Daphnia pulex: one gene and its partner. The protein of the gene in region 1 interacts with the protein of each later gene in a pairwise test. Links are inferred from orthologs where the notes say so. Each region holds a gene or a part of one and is shown on either strand. Other genes may lie near its edges.

Region 1 (9,061 bases):
CTCAATGTAGAAAACAGAATATTTACCCATGATTGCGATTTGGTTACACGATGAGGAATGCAGTGATAGGGCAGTGCAGTTGTTGCCGTGTTGGAGATGCTCGATGCCCGCTCGACTGATAACGATCGCCTTTTCTCTCTCCTTTTATACGATTTCCTCTCGTGGTCGACCAAGCCATCAATGATTCCCAACATAACGTTATAGTTATCAGTACAATAAACAATTTTAAAATTATAACAGTTTTATCAACAGCTAGACACGAGGTAGAACTGATTCACGACTATAAATAAAAATGCATATTTACCAATGATTGATGTGAACTGCTGTAATAAGGATGAAGAAAGCAGATGGTACGCTGCAGTTGTTGCCGTGTCGGAGACGCTCACTTGACTGATTTTGCTTCGGTTGGTTGGTTTTTTGGGGATGGGGGTTTGACGTTTCCAGGCCGGCAGGCCTATTTACGCCACTTGCACATGCGTTTTAGGGAGAAAGCTGGGCACCGGCTTTAGGTTTTTGGTTTCTCTTGCTAGAAACCGAGTCGGGCTTTGATGCCTATGGCATTAAAGAAGTCCAAAACGGCTTTGAGAGTTACCTCGTCGTTGAAATTTAGCAGCTCTTGCAGTGTGGGAGTGTTTTCGCTCACTACGTACACCATTTCTTCTCGCTCCTTTGCGTACGCCGGGCAGGCCAGCAGTACATGTTCGACATTTTCTTTTTCTTCGGCGTCGCAGTTGCAGCAGAGACCGGTCGGATGTTTTTTGCGTTTGAACAGACGATAGTTTAGCGGCAGCATGTCGAGGCGAATCTGCGATAAGAACACTTGCTCACTTCTTGACTGGCCGAACAGGGAGGCGATTCTTGACACGACTGGACTGTGTCTGTGGGTGAAAAGTCCACATTCCGTTTTCGGCTTGTCCCAGAGGCCTTGCCATTTTTTCAGGAGGAGGTCTTCAACGTTTTCACGGATGTCGTTTGTGTCTCTTCTGCAGCTGAGGCTAGGTTTTAGCTCCAGCCCATTTTTGGCAGCACGATCAGCTTGCTCGTTGCCGGATATTCCACTGTGTCCTTTTACCCACGAAAAACTGACAGTTGTGCCAGCTCTGGAGAGTGCTCGCCAGGTGTCCACGGTGCTTGTTTTGACACTGTTGTTTTCACTACTTGAGTGGAGTATTTGCAATGCCTTTTTTGAGTCTGTTAGGATAACAAAGCTCCCCAGTGTTGCGTGTGCTTCTGCCCACTTTACTGCCAGGTGTATTGCTACGAGTTCACACTTTGCTGTCGCCAAACCGTCCACCAGACGCTTCTGCTCAACGATGACTTTCTCTGGTACCACAAAGGCAACAGCACATCGCCCGTCTTTTGATTTTGCTGCGTCTGTGTAAATGTGGACCACATTTTGCCATTTCAGGTCGTTTGGTGTGTACGTCGTGACTTCCGGAAGCAAAGCCTGCCATGGCGGGTGCTTGCTGATGGATAATTTCTCGACTGATTTAGGATGATGGTCCAAGGTGTTTGTAACGGACTCGACTCTGGAGAGAAAACACTGCTCGGCGTTTTTGAACCACTCTTCTTTTTCTGCTAGCAGGTCAGACTTCACCTCGTAGCACCTTAAATAATGTTTGACGCTGGCGAGATTTCTCCTAAGGTGCAAGGGCATTTCGCCCGTCTCTCGTAGCAGGGCCTCTGTTGCAGTGTCCCTTGGCTCACCCACCACTGTTCTCAGCGCTTGTGCTTGGATTTTGTCCAGTTTTTTCTTTGCTGTGATAGAGGCGGACTCGATGAGTTCTCCTCCATAGTCGAGTTTTGAGCGGATCAGAGCCTGGTAGATTTGTAGCATGGGCTTTGCGTGTGCGCCCCATTTCGTTCCAGATATGAGGCGTAGTAAATTTAAAACTTTTGAGCACTTGCTGACGACGTCGTCTATTTGTTTGCACCAATTTAGTTTGCTGTCGAGTGTCATGCCCAGTAGTTTGATTGACTTTTGCACTTGGATGCTAGCTCCGTCTACTGTGATGCTCAAATTTTCGGGTATATTCCGCTTGGAAAAAACTATTTCTCCGGTTTTTGCTGCCGAAACTAGGAAGCCCCATAGTCTGAGCTCGACGATAACATCTTGTGTGTCCTTTTCTACCTTTTTTCTCAGGAAGTGTAAGTTTCGGTGCTTCTGCCAGATGAAAATGTCATCGGCGTACATTCCCGACATACAGGAGCGGCGTTTCTTGGCAATGTCGTTAATGAGGATGATGAACAATAACGGGCTGATGACACTTCCTTGTGGTGTGCCGTTTAGGCAGGAGAAGAGCTCGGACCGAGTTCCATTTAACGATACTTGTGCTGTCCGACCGACCAAAAAGGAGGTAATCCACTTGAGCATGTTGCCTCTTATGCTGAGCTTTTTGAGCTTGTAAATTAGTCCTTTTATCCAGATCATGTCGTAGGCTTTTTCAAGATCGAGCGTGACTGCCATCACATATCCTTTGTTGTTTAGGGCTGATTGGACCGAATTTTCGAGCCTCACTAAATTGTCCATAGTCCCTCTGTTTCGTCGGAAACCACTTTGATTTGGGGCGAGGAGGAGATTTTTCTCAAGGTACCAAGAGAGTCTGATTTTAATCATTCTCTCCAGGACCTTGCATGGCACCGGGGTAAGCGAGATCGGCCGGTATGACTCCGGTTTCGATGCAGTTTTGTTTGGCTTCAACAAGGGGATGATCAGCGAGTGCTTCCATCCTTTCGGTAGCGTGCCTTGTTTCCAGGACTCGTTGTACAGGGCCAGTAGCGTACGTAGGGCTGTATCCGGTAGGTGGCGTAGCATTGATAAAGATATTCGGTCGCTTCCCACTGCTGTATCTTTTGCTTCTTTTAGGGCGGTCGTCAGCTCTTGCATTGAGAAATCTGCATTCATTTCTGCGTCTTCTATCCGTCCGTCCGGCTCGTCCGCTTCACCATCTTCCATGGACTGTTCGGAAATTCGGCGGTGTTGGAGAAAGGATTCTGATAGGTTGGTGTCACTACTCACTGCTTTGTAATGCTTTGCAAATAGGTTGGCTTTTGCTGATGACTCCGTAACACACGTCCCATTTTTGTCGAGTAGCACCGAGATCGGTTTTGTTTTGTTGTTTCGCCCCAGCATTTGGTTGGTTTTTTCCCAGAGATCACGGGACGTTGTGTTCTTGTTTATTGTGCTACAGTGAGCTCGCCAGTGCTCTTTCTTCGCGTTTCGCATCACCGATCGGCTTTTGTTACGTAAAGTGCTGTATATTTTGTAGTCGTCTGGATTTCTTGATGCGTTTGCTCTCACCCAGGCCTTTTCTTTTTCTTTGATGGCGTCTGCACACGCTGCATTCCACCATGGGACGCCCGGCTTGTGGTGTCCTTGTCGCACGACTGGGATGTGGTTGCTGGCTGCTAGGATGATGGCGTGAGTCACATTGTTATTGAAAACATCAATATCGGTACAGCAAAATCGACTGATTTTGCTTCGCCTTTTCTCTCTCCTTTTATACGATTTTTTCTCACCATTCCCCTCCTAAGCCTTGCGGCTATTGTACCTGCCTGATAATTATGAAAACGTCCCGTTCTCACCCAACCTCTACACCACATGACACATTTTAAGTAATGATCTCCGTGACCTTCGGAAGTGAAGGAAAATTTTCTTTCCTTCTTTAGGTAGATGTTGCTGGGGATGGGTATATCAAAATATCAATATCAAAATGAATACCAAATAGCTATGTAACACGTGTCGTTCTCACCCAACCTCTACCCCACTGCATGACACGTTTTACGTAATGATCTCCGTAACCTTCGAATGTGAAGGACATGCAAACTGGCCTTTCCTTCTTTAGGTTGGCGTTGCTGGGTAGGGTAACCAATATCAAAATGAATATCAAATGGTTATGGCTTAAACTCTCTTTTTTACCAATTGACATTTGAGTAATTTAACGCGTTTCTTCGGTGAATGAGTGATGTTCTTTAACCATGCTTTAACTAAAAAGTGTCATATTATATTTAACTTACGAACTAGATTATATCTTACTTTACTTTAAGAACTTTAATTTTGATCGAAATATCAAATCACGGAAAAGAATTTACAAATTATTTTTCGTTCAGAAATTCAATTGGTAGTCCGTTCCGATTACGTCAAGGAAAGATTTTTTAACATTTTTGAGGCAACTCTTCATTCCTATAAACGCTGTAGATTTCACTCCGGAGAAACTGATCTGTGCTCATTGAGACGAAGGTGTAGGCTAATCAAATATTACCCAGAACTATAATCTATAATGCCCGAGTGGCTTCCCAAATCACAGTGCGTTTACTGCATATTTAGTCAAGAATTAGCAAATTAAAGAAACAGATTTAAGACACTTATTATTCTTAAACAATTGTAACTATTTCGGCAACAATTATTCCATAAACATGATTATAATGAAAGAAATTTTTTGTTATGGAAGTATTAAAGATAACTCAGATATAACTCAAATGTAAAGAATATAGTTTCCTATTACATTTTCAGCCGAGAAGAGCCAGAAGTGCCCTTCGGTAATCACCTGAAGAATCGCCCTACGAAGAAATCGTAATTTTCTTTCAAAGTTTATTGAAAAGAAAAGTAAAAGCATTTCAGTACCGAAAGATCAGCTTGAAGACTACGGCTGAATTTCCTTTCATACTCTTGTTTTATGTTGTTGAGATCAACATCACAACGACCAACGATTATACGAATAAGGTTACGACTGAATAAGTAAAATATATATGTCAATTAAATTCAGTGAAAAATCAATAAAGATTAGGTCATACTCGTTTGTGCCCAATCCATCAATGGCGTGATGTAGGCGATGAGCGAAATATTCATGTCTGTTTTTGGCACATTGCACTGGCAGAATGTTAACAATATTGTGAAGTCATGCAAGAAGTAGGAATTTCGTAGGAAGCTGTGACACTTACATATTGTTAAAAGACCCCTCTCTGCGTTGAACGAAAACTCCGCCTTCAAAGCACGTTCCAAAGTGTGGCCGTGCATATTGTGATACTCGGAAATAACCTGACGTAAATGAGGCCAACTGCGAGAAGCAAGGATAGAATGAAAAACACTTTCATCTGTTCCTATCTTAGCCGCTCCTGGAAATAAATAAAGCGGATATTTTAACTGACAGAGGCTATAAGTTATCGATCACTTGATATACAGAAATGCAGTTAATAAAATTACCTGCTTGAAACAAAAGATGGGCATCCGCTCTAGCCTCGTAAACATCAACCGCTTGATTCTCATCTCTTTGACCCTACAATTAAATTAAATACAAAAAAATAAACTCAGGACATATAAAATCGAATAACGGAGAACATTAAATCAGCAAGAACTTCACCTGGACCATTGAAACGAGAAGCAATTCAAATTCACCAGAAGTATCTCCCTTGATATCCTTCTCCATAGAGTGCCCGTACACTTGACGAAAAATTTAGCCACAAATAACAATCTAGAACGTAATAAAACCTGTCGATTTCTAATTCTCACATCGTTGGTAGGCAGCGTTCATTTCGCGAATCTCCTGGTTAGTCCCGCTACAAAGAACTTCAATGAGCGTATCTTCATTGGTCCCCATTCCACTGATAGCATGATGAACTTCACGTGCCATAAATTCAGCTATAGGAAGGCAGAGGGCAACCATTAACTTTTCAAAACAACCGCTTAATTCGCTCTTTAATGCCGACTCCAGATCCTAATTTTTACATTACGAGCTCAAATTAAAAAAAAAAAAAAAAAATTATACATATTGTTGCCAAATAACCTTTCCATAGCCTGCCTTGTAGGCAAGATTTATTGACGCGCGCTGGTCACAGGTGCGATGGCACAGAATACTTATCAGAGCTTTTTCGTCCGTACCGAAACCTTTCATTGCTTTCTGAAGCGCATCAGCATCAGCTCGGGGATTAAACGATGAAGCCGGAAATATAGTAGGAATATTCTGAAAATGAAGTTTCGAGTTCAAATTATTTGACAAATTTACAATATAATCAGTATGCTTACTTCGCCCATTTTTTAATGCTGAATATTAAAGTCTGAAAACAGCCCTGTAATGCTGCGTGAAGCGGATGTGTTGTTTTAAGTGCTGCAGAAAAACAAATAGTCGATAAAATTTTGTCCAGATAATAAAATCATTTAATATTACAATTAATTTTAGACAAGAAATATTCTAAGGTTGTTGCTTCAACATTCAACGCTCTTATCTATAGGCTACAATTTATATGAGATAAATTTCTTTTAAGGTTTAGAAAAAACAAGTTTAAAACTTTTAATGACAATTCTGAAATTATCTCACCAAAATAAGAAATCAATCCTAAGTAGAAATGAGATAATTACCTGCTTCAAAGTAATTTAAAATGAACGTCGGTTATTTATGAAAATCATATAAAAAGTGTACACAGAGTAGAAGAGAAACTCTAACGCGGCTAGTGAACAAACTCAACTAGCGTCGCGAGTGTAAGTTTTCTACCTGCTATAGAGGGCTACAAGTCGCATTCACGAAAACAAAACGGGAAAGGAAAACCAAACAGTGACAAAGAAAACAGGTAAAATCCGACCGAATCCGACTTGTTGTTGGCTTGTACTCTAAGACGGAAATTTCCTCGTGAAGTCTGGAACGCAAATAGTAGAATTCTACTTCCTGTTTTCATACCGCACCGTTTTCCTTGTTACGGATAATTTATACTTGGAACACATCAGAACTTTTTAATTCATTCTTTACTTTTGACTTGATAAGAATGTGTACCAACCTTTATCACAAATATTAATGAATGCAGTTATTCAGCAGCATTTGATTAAATTCTGTAATTCCAAAATCAATTATGATCCTATGTGTAAATTATTCTTATCGTCAAAGTGTTTGTTTACCCTTTAAATTTGTTTTAGATTACATTCACATCAGTTTGCTAAATGTTACATAGCAATGCCCAAAATTTAACCCTACTGAGAATCCACAAATAAACTTTTCAACAATATGTTACAACTTACAGCAATTAATGTTACATACCTTCGTCCTTCAATCCAGTCTTCCACTCTACCAACTCTACAAAAAGATGCTGATGATATTTCCTTGTCTTTACTCATTTCCATCAACCGACCAAGCAATGTTCTGGATGCAATATGACAAAAGAGAACTTGGGTGTTATGGAAACCACTTGTGTCATGATGTGTAGGAGTGGTTCTAACATGCTGGAACCTCATGGAAACCGTACAAACGCCATCCACTGTTTACAAAAGTCAACAGTTAGAGTATTTAAAATTAACGGACTGTTCTGAAACCAACCATCAGACACTCATTTGACATTGAAGGTGATGACGATGATTATGTAAATTACGTGTGTCTGCCATGTAAAATGTAACCGATCCGACACTGATTCAAGGCCGGCAGCCCGGCACAGATCTCGATTAGTCGATTTCGAAAAATCAAAACAATAAAACTGGCAATCGTCTGAACGACCGACGCTCCATCTATGTTACACCAGGACCGTAATAATAAATTCAAACAAGATCACAACGTTTTCTCTGATATGGTAATAGATACCACTGTAGGCAGCGTACGTACGCCGCAAGGTACCCGAAGGGGATGTTAAGGGTATACTAGTTGGAATAGTAGAATTGCTGTATTGGTATAGTTTTATAAAGGCAGAGCTATAGAATAGTTATAGAATAAAAATAATATTCTGTTATAAAGGTAGGCCTATTATTAAGATTAATTAATAATATTTAAAACAAAAATGTTATGCCCTTAGTTTCCGGAAGAATGTAATATGCAGAAATCGAGAAAGAGATGAAAAGCATATTTCCGCATGTTTCTATCCAAACATTTAATACAAATTCAATTCCCAAAAACCTAATATGATATGGCGCGGCGTAAGGGTAAGGCGTGACTTTGGTGCGGCGGAGGCTTCGCCCCGCCACCCCACGTCACACCGGATGTTGTTAAAATTAAATGTAAGTAACTACCTATCAGCACTTCTTTTACTGGAGATTGATAGCGTTAGGTGCGGTTAGGTAATAACATACAGTGACTTCTATTCTATCATAAGCCTACAATATTACTCCAACAGGATGATAATTTTGAAAAGAAAAATAAGACAGGCTAGAGATGGTCCAACAATCAACGGCGGTACTCTACGCTTTTTCTTCGATCCTGGGTCATGCTGGTCATATTCAATAGAGACGATGCTGTCATCCTGTCACATGTCTCTGTATTATCGTCTGCTCTAACAGCTATTGAAATTCTGTCAAAAAGTAACAAGAACTCCGTTTGATCAAACGCCTGAATTGATTGCAGCCAAATTTTCAGAATAGATGTAAAAAATTGTAAGCTACCGATTGCTGCCATTGAAATGCAATTAAATTGTTGATTACAATCAATAATTGCCAAAAACTAGTGCAGCCATCTATGTTGTGTTACGAGAACTGAGGGTGCCCATGTAAACCATACTGTAAACGAAACTTTGACCAGTAACCCTTCGGGTAATTCAAATGTGCCAATTGAATTTACAGCAAATCTGTAACTACATACTACATGAATGAAAGGATAATAATAATAATAATTCAAATTTAGTTCGACTTTAAAATCGCCGCACTGATGGAGCCAAGAAAGAAGAAACCAGCCAACGAAAAAGGAAGTACTCTAATGACTACAATTAGCCGTGAAAATCGCCAAGCTCTCCCTGCTACTGTACGTATTTTAAATATTGATTTTGATTTTAAAAACTGAGAAGAATATTACGAGTTTCTAAATAATTATTTAAAAAATGTTGGGGATTTAGTTGGATTATCGCAAGCATAAATGTATGGCACCAATTCGAAACCAAGCAGCGGTAATTCTTCGTTTTTCTACAGTTATCCAGAAAAGTTGTTGCGTTTTTAACTATATTTACCTTACTCTTTATGATATTTTTACAGTGTGGAAGCTGCTGGTCCTTTGCTGCCATATATCCACTCGAGTTCTCTGCTTGAGGTTCTATGCTATTTTGGACTTTTGGTCGTGGGTGTTTGTAGCTTTAACCCTGGGTGAATTTCATTTGAAATACA
Region 2 (10,003 bases), on another chromosome or scaffold:
AATGTTTTTTATTTCCCCCTGATGGATATCTGGGTTTGATTCGAGGGTAAAAACCAAATGCCAAGAAAAATACACAGTAAAAAAGGTGCAAATCTATTTTTTGCAACAAAAAGCGAAAAATTCACTTGTCATGGAATGACCCATACAAAAATTCTACCTTTCTGTTATTGTACAAAGGAGCCTATGGAGCTTTCCTCAGAAATCAACATTCAACGGTAGTTTGCATTCTATATAATTCTCCGTCGTGCAAACTGTTATAGTTTAATCCCATTCTTTTCCCTCGTATAATTTTTTTTTACAAAATTAATCTTAGATTTTTGTATCAAAGTTTATCAAGATTTTATTTTTCAAAGGGCTTCTAACTTTTGGAAACATTTAATTTATTATAAGTTCCATATTTGAAGATATTCATTGTTTGCTAATATGAGTTCGTGGGGAGGAGTGGCCACGAAGGCTCCATATTCCAAGCCAATGTCCATTTGTATTCTAATTGGTAACAATAACTGAAGAAAGAGAGCAGAAAGATACTAATTTAAATTCATCTTATAAAATGTTTTTCTTCTTCTTGGTATATGCTAGAGGCAATTAGCTATTGTTCATATTCGGGAAGTAAAATAAACAAAGTAAAATAAATCACCTAAGAAATTTGGTAGTAAAAATGGTTGTAAATGAAATTTGATACTTTTATTTTAGAATTACTTAACTTCGTGTCGTTCATAGGGGTTTCTAATTCCGTCAATGACAAAAGTCATTTTCATTCCTGATTTTTTTAACTGACATAGGGGATTAGAAATATACGAGCGTAGTTGTTCATTTAAGATCTGATTCAGTAGGATTTTTTTTAACGCAACAGATCATTATGAGCTCTTTTTCCTTTCTATTTTCACTCTCTGATCAGATAGCATCTCCTGAAAATTTTTTATAAAAATAAATAATACTATAACAACCTATAAAGCAACTAAAAAGCTACACATAAAAATAAAATAAGGTGGTACAACTTGTAAAAATTTGGAAACGATAGTGTTTTCCAAGGCCAACACTAAAGTTCAATTGTGGAAGCCAAAATGTTGTCCATGACAAAGGAAAAGTTGACTTTTTTTTAAATAACCAGACCTTATTTATTATGATTTGATTCGAAGGAACTATATTCCACGCAAATCTCTTCTTTTTATTTAGGGATCCCTTCCACGAGTATTCCAACGCATTAGACCATCCCGTGCAAAGCTCACTTTTCTAATGTGCTAGAAGCAGCTAGAACGTGTTAACCGACCAACATCACCAACTTTTGTAACGGAGCATTGTTGCAGGATTCATTCCACAGCACACGATGTTGCTGTCGATGGTTCTGAGGTAGCCGCTTAGTTCGTCGTAGTCGCTGTAATGGTCAATAAAACTGGATGTCTATAAGCATCCAACTAAGTCGTACATGCAGCTGCTTTTCCGTTTTGATTCCAACTCCAAGAATCTGCTCCAAGAACCTTCGTCTTATAGTACTATAGACCTTTTTCCATTTGGTTCGGGTTACAGCCTGACAGGTTACAGTACATGGCCTTACGTGGGGTATTGACCGGATCAAGCAAAGTCTGCAGCAAGTTTCGGCTATCCCCCGCCATGGTGCGCACTAGTCGACTAGCCGCACGACTTTTCGCTCTACTTACCCGAACCAAATGGAAAAAGGTCTATAGCAAGTTAGAACTCTTCTAAACATTACACCAACCAATCTATATATCACTTATATTGTTATATTCTATGTATACCTTGAGAAAACGGGTTTGACTTCGCGTACATCTTATCATGTCAGGAGAGCTTACAGAAAAATCTTATAATATTATTAGTAGTGTTTGTGTGTGTAGCGAAACTTTTTATTGCAGATTCCTCCGTCACACAAAGTTTCGCTATACTCCGTAATTAACGTTGCGTTCCTTCCAGTGTAAACGCACCTTTAGAAGCTTGTTAAAAAGGCAGAGAAGCAGTAAACGAACTTCATTGTAGTTAAATTGCTCTTAATGCTAAAAATAATAATTAAAATTTCCACCACAATTGGTTTTTCCATAATATTTTAACAATAGTTTAATTCCACGTAATTTTTTCCGCGGGTCAAATCATTAACACTCACTCATTAATTGGGCAAAAGGAAAATAATTTTTCTGTTACTGGTGACGAACCGGAGGTAATATATTATGTAGGAGGGAATGAGGGATTTTTTGGAAAACATTTAAATCGAATTTCCGAGAAAAGTTTCGAAGTAGTTGTCAACCCGCGAAACTCACGAAATTTCCCATTTCTCTGAGACGACGCCATTAAAGTTGTCTGATATTATTTCACTGTTTGGTGACGCACGTTGTTAGCACTACGCAACAACAATCCAACACTTCCCGTCGTCTGCACTTTGGACATTGATGCCAATTTCAGAATTTTAAAATTAGTTGTAGTAATAAATGATGTAAATAAACCCCCGAAGGAACGGGACTCATATTGCGTTATAAAAAAAATTATCCGTATCTTGGTGGTAGAGAAATGGCCTGGAATGGCGTATATCAATGGATCGATCCTCACATGGGTCATAACTCTTCTAGAAACCAAAAACCCTTAACATTTTGACAAAATGATTTTCATGTTTAACAAGCGATCCATGACTCAGGTAGACCGAAATCCCGGAGCAGCTTTCCAGATTTATATCCGGAAAAGGAATTTGAAATATAAAAAATATATGTTGTCATTTTTGTCTCTACACGCCGGATTTACTTGCGTTTGCAGAAAGACGAAATTCCCACCCGTTTACGAGATATTAAGCGTTAAAGTTTGAGTTTTTTTTTATTTATCAGAAATGGGGGGTACTTTGACATCGCTTTTCTGAAAGGTATAGGGGCTATAGCAGAAACTTATTTTATAGAAAGGTTTATTGCTATCTCAACCATTAAAATCCAAAAGGAATTTTCTTTCCGGATTTTATTGGTTGAGATATGACTAATTTCCTGAGAGGCTCATTTTTCCCTTTTCCCTCTCTGCCTGGCACCCATATTTTGTTCTCACTGCCGCGCTCCTTCCGGAAGCAAGCAGAAGGTTTTATCTGTTGGCCTTCATTTTAGACCCATAGAAGTCATATCGGCCTTCATATTTAGTGGAACTAAGCTGGTTTCCGCAAGGGGCGCAAAGGAGAGTAAAAAAAAAGTTGTATAGATGTTATTCCAACTTAAAAGTAGTAGTCGAGTAAAAGCAGAGATAAGGAGATGGGCCACTCTGTGTAAAGTCCAGCAGTCGACTTCCCCTCCTCCTTCTTTTCGACTGCCCTGCTCCTTTCGGCGAGCTCCGGAAGCTTTACCTTACTTGGTGGTAGGGGCGGTCCTGAAGGGGGAGAACTACTGGGAAATGCTTCCGGAGCTCGCCGAAAGGAGCAGGGCAGTCGAAAAGGAGGAGGAGGGGGGAAAAAGTCGACTACTGGACTTTACACAGAGTGGCCCATCTCCTTATCTCTGAGTAAAAGTCGTGCGCAGTTTACGCCGATGCGCACCACTGCGGCCGATAGCAGAATGAAATTTTTATTACGCTTGACACTTAACGTAGGTACAATCCTTTGTTCCAGAACTGTCTGCTTCTCGAACAAAGGATTGTACCTACGTCATCTGTCAAGCGTAATAAAAATTGTCGTTCTGCTATCGGCCGCAGACCCGCAGTGGTGTGCACCGGCGTAAACTGCGCACGACTTTTTGGCATGTCTACTACTTTTTGGTTGGAATAACATCTATAAGGAGGATTCAAAACAAAAATTAATTATTTTTCATGCTTCTAGGCCTTCTACCCTATTGTTGATGAAACTATTACCATTATTTATAACAAAATTGTTTATAACTTGTGGACTTGTGGTGTACTCGATTGATAGCGGATGGACTCGAACTGTAGCGTACTCGATTTTTTAGCGTACTTTTTTTTTAGCATTTGATTATCGATTCGATCTCGATCACGCTCTATAAATTGAAAAATTGGTGTGATGTCATAGATAAAGACCACGGGTCTTTATAATTAGTGGTCTTTAGGTCAACCGCTTCCTCTTGATCAGAAAAAAATAAGCGATCAATCGTGATAAACTAATCGATCGCGTAAACTGGTTTTCAGTATGTTTGGCACCTAGATGGCACCGGCGTTTCTCCCTTTTTCAAATTCTTCTGAACAAATACTTAAATTTCTCGTTATATTAATTATCAGTAATAGAAACATTTAGCAAGCCAATAACTATTTTTTTTTTTTTGTAAAATCTGATTTACCCACAAAAAAATTATAGAGCCAACATATAGGGCTGTGGCCCGGGCGATGAAAACCCGGGCCACCGCCCGGGCTGAACGAAAAAAAACCCAACCCGACTCGACCCATCGAGGCATTTTTTTTAACGGGGCGGGCGACGGGTTGAACTCCCGGTACCGCGGGCCAACCCGAGCGGTGGCGCCATCTAGTAGTCACATAGAGAAGCTCGTTATTCTCTATGCCTGCGGCCTCAAAATATTGCCGCCAAATGCTCTACGATAATTTCGTAGCATGAAAAGTAGGATAAGTGGTAGAAAAGGGCGTTCAGGGGTGTTCAGAAGACAGAATTGACGTGTCACTGTTAGAAGAAGAAGATAATTAAGAAATTTAGGGAATTTTTTTAAGTTTGTAAAAAAAAAAGTGTGTTTGACCCGATTTTTTACCCGGGCCGTTACCCGACCGGTAAAAATTTTTTGACCCATGGGTTGGCCCGGGCCAAACCCGTTCACTCAGTTGGCCCAACCCGCTCCGACCCGCGGAAGAAGAAAAACCCATCTAAAAAACCCATTGAAAAAAAACCCGCTAAAAACGTCCCGGGCCACAGCCCTAAACATACGGATCGTCGATTATCGTCCAAGACTCCTGTCTTTATTTTACAGCAGTCATGGCTCATGGGTTTCGACTTTGGACTTGGATTGACTGTTGAGTGTTGAGTCATCAATGATTGAGACATCAAGTTGATTCAGTGCAACTCAGTGAATTAAGTTGACTGTTGGCCACTACAAAAAAATCCCTTTACTTATTAATAACACCCTTTGGTATCGGGCAGTTTAAAAAACGTATTGTACTTGAGTGAATTCTATTTATAAACGTTTAGTCGCGTTTAGTCTACACAATGGCTTATCAGCACTATCAAGGGCCGGGTGCGGTTCCAGCTGCTCCAAATCGTGATTTTCTTTGGCAGGTGTTTCAAAGGTTAAACAATTTTGTTGTGGGTTAAATTCAGGGAGAAAATTACAACTAAAATATATTTATTGAAATTTTTAGAGTTGACAAAGATAGAAGTGGAGCAATAACTGCCGAAGAGCTGCAATCAGCTCTATCCAATGGAACATGGGCTCCATTTAACTCGGAAACTGTTAGACTTATGATTGGTATGTGTTTGACAGCTGTATGAGAGGCATTAATGATAATTTTGTATCCCTTTGTACTAATGTTCCGTTTTGAATTGTGCACTACTACAGGTATGTTTGATCGTCAACAAAGAGGAACTATTTCCTTTGAAGATTTTGGAGCAATCTGGAAGTATGTCACTGATTGGCAAACTTGCTTTAGAAGTTTTGACAGAGATAATTCGGGGAACATTGATGGCAATGAACTAAGAACAGCACTTACAAGTAGTTTGTCATTAAAGTTGGCTGACAATTTTTAAATATACTAAGTGTTCTTTTGTGTTAATATAGGTTTCGGCTATCGTTTGCAAGACGGAACTCATCATATGTTGCTTCGAAAATTCGATCGTATGGGAAAAGGAACGATATATTTTGATGATTTCATTCAGTGTTGCATCGTTTTACATGTAAGAAAGATTTTTACATATCTATGATTTAAATGAAAGTATCATTTTTTCATATATCTATATTGTTTTCAATGACAGAACTTGACTTCAGCGTTTCGTCAATTCGATACCGATCAAGACGGTGTCATTACTATCGGATATGAACATTTTCTTCAAATGGTCCTCAACACCCGCGTATAAGTTTCAGCTAATATACCTAAGCTACTAAATTTACCACTTCCTTATTGCTGTTTGTGTATGTTTCTTTGCTCATATAGAGATTCTGTAACAGCCAATATCTTGATTTTTCCTGGCAGTTGATTGAACTCTTCTCCCTTTTGAATAAACTTGCATATGAAATGTTATTTTACTGTGATATAACTACTGTGTGAATCAGTATAACACCTTGTGTGCGATCTGATTGCTTGATAATATTGTTGCTCAAGGATCAGCATCAATCGTACACAGCAACGGAACTTTTCGTAATAGCACACAACGCACTGTAAACAAACTACAGCAATAGGGCATCTATTTCGTATCTGTCGTGTAAAGATAAAGCGATATAATCAAGATAAAATGAGTCATTTTAGAAGGTCTGTTATGCCAGCGCATTGTCGTAGAGGTAAAGTGTGCCTGCCCTATTCTATTCGACTTTTTTAACATGTTTCCAATATTTTTTCCCTGACAATCCAGAAAATAGAATACGGAAATAGAATTTAACCATGAACAAAAATTGATGTTAGTAAAAGTGAGTGATTATTTAGCTTATCATTCACTTCTGCAACTTTATATGTTCAGATTCTTTTTTGGGCGTAAACGGGAAGTTTACGAGGGTACGAGTAATTTATTGTCATTGTAGTCAGGTTTGTCCTCAAATCGACATAACCCATACTTATTAGCCTACGTCACCAAATTGTAGAAAATATTTCCGCGATGAATGTATAGGATAGTTGGCAACATTACAGAACAGTTTATTAATTATAGCATTTGTGTTAATAGTAAATATTTAGCAGTCGTATTGTTATTCAACAACTTCATTTTTATTGAGCGCACGTTATTTCGTTTATACATGTAGCCTATCTTGGACCTTTATTTTCTGTACCGTTAATTCTTTATTCATCATCGTGGTATTCTAGAATAACCAGACGCATTTAGTTTCATGATATAAGTTATTTTATTTTATTTTATTTTTTTAGATTGATGATGCGATAAATCAAACGTTCTGACTTCTGAGTTATCGTGAAAAATGGAGGCATGCAAAGACCTTTTACCCTATGTTTCGAAATTTTACAAGGGTGCTACACATATTTCAATATACACTGTTACAATTTACTCTTTTATCAGAACAATCAATTCAAACTTCTTTTTTTTTACTCCTGAACTCATAACGCACAGCCATCACAATAACTGATTGTCTTATAGGCTAGTCCAAACTCCAAACTAGCTATATGAATGTTTGAATAAGACATTAACATTGGAAAAGTAATTGGTGCTTAATGTTTAGTGTGTTTTATTACATTATTTTGCGTTCAAACAACATACAATCACGAAAGAGATGCGCACTTAAGATCAATTCATGGCGTCAGTCTGTTTCCTGGGCAAATACAAAAATCCTGTTTATATTATATTGGTAATAAAATTTTCCAATTATAGGACTAATATCCTTTTACGATTGTAATTCATGCGAGATATCATCGGATGCGTAAAGCGTTACAGATGCTATAAGGTTATTTGGCATCACCTTACATTCAAAAAGAGAAATTCATTAAAAGCTTTCAGTATTTTAGGAATCTAAAAATCGTTATTCACCTCGAAAATAATATCCTCAACCCCGTAGCAGAACGTAGAACCGAAGGGGTTTGTTGTATTCGTCGATGACGATCGATGTAAAACAATCGGACGTGAACTAGGCTGCACTTTCTCGCAAACTTCATCCCAACGTGAATAAGCAGATACCTACATTCGTAAATAATTTATGACATTGGTTTCACGCAAGAACATATATGTGAATTGAAAACCAACAGTGATAAATGTCGGCGATAAATCGACCAATCTCGAATTATCGACGGAAGTGGCCTTGGTCGGCAACTGGAGCTTAAACTCACATCGGTGATACCTAATTGAGAGAGAATTTTAAAAAAAAATAATTAAGCATTGACCAGCTCCCACGCATTCACTGCAAAATGTTTCACTTACATATTGAAATTGTAATGTCCTGGATAATTCGTATGCAGTACGAACTTCTTCAACTTGTGATATTTCCCATCGAATAAAGCATCCTTTTTTAAAACGGGAAATTTGTAATGAAACTTTTAAAAATGAAATCTAGAATAATTTTAAGTATACTAATCCAAGAGTGAAGTAGTTGTAAAAATAATCCGAAAAAGAAGCTGGAGCTCGACGATGCGCCTGTGGACTGTGAATCCTCATTTTGTCTTCGTCCTACCATCGACGATAAGAATTAAATTTATAAAGTGCATGTACATATATTTGCACATTTTACTTTATAAAACACGCGAGATGGAGCTCCCAACAGCGTAAGCACATCTTCGGCAGAAGCTCCAAAAAATAATTCCTGGACACAGGCATGTCGTCTAGGTTCCAATACTTGAGATGGACCTAAAACGCAAAATTACATTGATTTGAAAGTTAGTTTCTAAATTTATCAATGTTTGAGCCGAACCTTCACAAATAATGGAGAGCTTGATACCAGATGTACATCCATTATGACGAATAACTTCGAGCCATTGCAGATAAGGATGAGAAAAAAAGCAGGATATCGGTAGCGAAGGTGGTTTGCTGTCAACCAAGCTGTTTCCACTGAAAATGAACATCTTTGTTGCTATAGGAGACGCGCCGTTGGTGAATTGAAGCGATCCAAGTCCTCGAACGTATCTCGGTTCGCTAGCCTGTTCAACTGGAAAGGTAAAAGATAGGCCACGGAAATTTAGAGTAAAGATTCTTTTCTCAGGATCATATATTCCAGGGTGTGTAGCTCCAAAAGAATGATCTATTTGATCTATGGTTGGGATAACATCAGTTGAATTGAAAACCAGGCCACTATATCAAAATAGGGCATGATTATTTCTCCTAATCTTGTCTAAATTTTAAAATATTTTTACTATTACCAGTATTTCAGTTTGATGAGATTCATGGCAAAAATCTCAATCACTTTTAGGCGCTGTGAAACTGAATCAAATAAAAGGCGAATTCCATCCAAAGTAAGACTTAAAATAAGGTCAGAAGCCAAAGGGTCCTATACAGCAAATAACATGTATGTTCACGAAGTTTGTGTGTGTATGCTAAAAGATTTTACTTACATTCTCATTATATATTACTTGGACTCTCTTCATAACTGCTACCTGAGACATGCAGATGCAAACTGCTTGAGAAAACTGCATTCCTATAATGAAGATTGAAAAGTACACAAACCAATATAAGTATACTGTGCGATTCCGTATGCTTGTGTACACTCAATGGCATAACGAATATTTTGCAATTCAAGAACCAAAAACGATTACTAATCTCAGAGAATTTTTTCCTCTAAACCTTACCTAATATAAACTCCCAATGTTCGCAACCCAACGATCTCTCAGGGATTACTTCTAAATCAAGCATCTTAAGATTAAGAACTTTGCAATATTGTTGAAACGTAATTTCCGTTCAGTCGAACCCAACACTGAGGACTGAAAACGCTGAAAACAATAATAATGTTTTGGTTTTTCTTTGTTGTGGAACAGCCGTCATCTAGTGGAGAAAAAGGCAACCAATGTAAATATGTCAAATTCCGTTCCCAAACAGCTGTTGAAAGCCTTGAAGGCTATACAATCGATCGACAATCCAAAATCCAATGTCCATTCTAATATTCAGACTTTCAGAGTTTAATTAAGTAGTTCGGCGGTTTTTGTGGTAGCTGTTGTCCATTAGAATCACGTTGTTGTATCTCAGTCACGTTTACTAGTAATTTGCTACTAATTTTGTAGATCATTTCTTTTGTTAATCAATACTCTTCAAAAGCTGGAATGTCGAGGTTGCTGTTAGCATTAATTAAACGGTAAGATTTCGATTCTACCTTGAATACTTCTGTGAAACCTACAAATATTATCTACTGCAATTATTCGGCATAATTTCTTTTTGAGGTTTCTGGTTGCGGAAGTTTGATATTATATTTTTGGCTTCGATTGAGCTGCTATTCTTCGTTTCGTT

Evidence for each region.
Region 2: the proteins of annexin B9-like (region 1) and programmed cell death protein 6-like interact in binary tests that used the Homo sapiens proteins (3 or more experiments, as listed by UniProt). The link is inferred for Daphnia pulex from reciprocal best matches to the Homo sapiens genes ANXA11 and PDCD6.

What each region holds. Positions count from the first base shown.
Region 1 is NC_060024.1:10,609,646-10,618,706, reverse strand, and holds annexin B9-like, read right to left. Parts: upstream 8,925-9,061; 5' UTR 8,908-8,924; intron 8,848-8,907; exon of another isoform or gene 8,797-8,847; intron 8,706-8,796; exon of another isoform or gene 8,544-8,705; intron 8,444-8,543; exon of another isoform or gene 8,413-8,443; intron 8,342-8,412; exon of another isoform or gene 7,551-8,341; intron 7,419-7,550; exon of another isoform or gene 7,302-7,418; intron 7,243-7,301; 5' UTR 7,026-7,242; intron 6,962-7,025; exon of another isoform or gene 6,959-6,961; 5' UTR 6,887-6,958; intron 6,821-6,886; 5' UTR 6,769-6,820; intron 6,704-6,768; 5' UTR 6,356-6,703; intron 6,340-6,355; exon of another isoform or gene 6,315-6,339; intron 6,105-6,314; 5' UTR 6,032-6,104; coding exon 6,023-6,031; intron 5,961-6,022; coding exon 5,784-5,960; intron 5,715-5,783; coding exon 5,510-5,714; intron 5,441-5,509; coding exon 5,361-5,440; intron 5,277-5,360; coding exon 5,204-5,276; intron 5,116-5,203; coding exon 4,942-5,115; intron 4,871-4,941; coding exon 4,795-4,870; intron 4,731-4,794; coding exon 4,625-4,730; and 4 more. UniProt on the Homo sapiens protein: Binds specifically to calcyclin in a calcium-dependent manner. Required for midbody formation and completion of the terminal phase of cytokinesis.
Region 2 is NC_060019.1:5,643,590-5,653,592, forward strand, and holds programmed cell death protein 6-like, read left to right. Parts: upstream 1-4,858; 5' UTR 4,859-5,134; coding exon 5,135-5,214; intron 5,215-5,286; coding exon 5,287-5,393; intron 5,394-5,483; coding exon 5,484-5,636; intron 5,637-5,702; coding exon 5,703-5,818; intron 5,819-5,896; coding exon 5,897-5,998; 3' UTR 5,999-6,162; downstream 6,163-10,003. Other genes in the region: PHAF1 protein CG7083-like, read right to left, coding at 7,367-7,391, 7,468-7,538, 7,607-7,753, 7,820-7,913, 7,994-8,076, 8,144-8,239, 8,301-8,416, 8,481-8,857 and 3 more. UniProt on the Homo sapiens protein: Calcium sensor that plays a key role in processes such as endoplasmic reticulum (ER)-Golgi vesicular transport, endosomal biogenesis or membrane repair.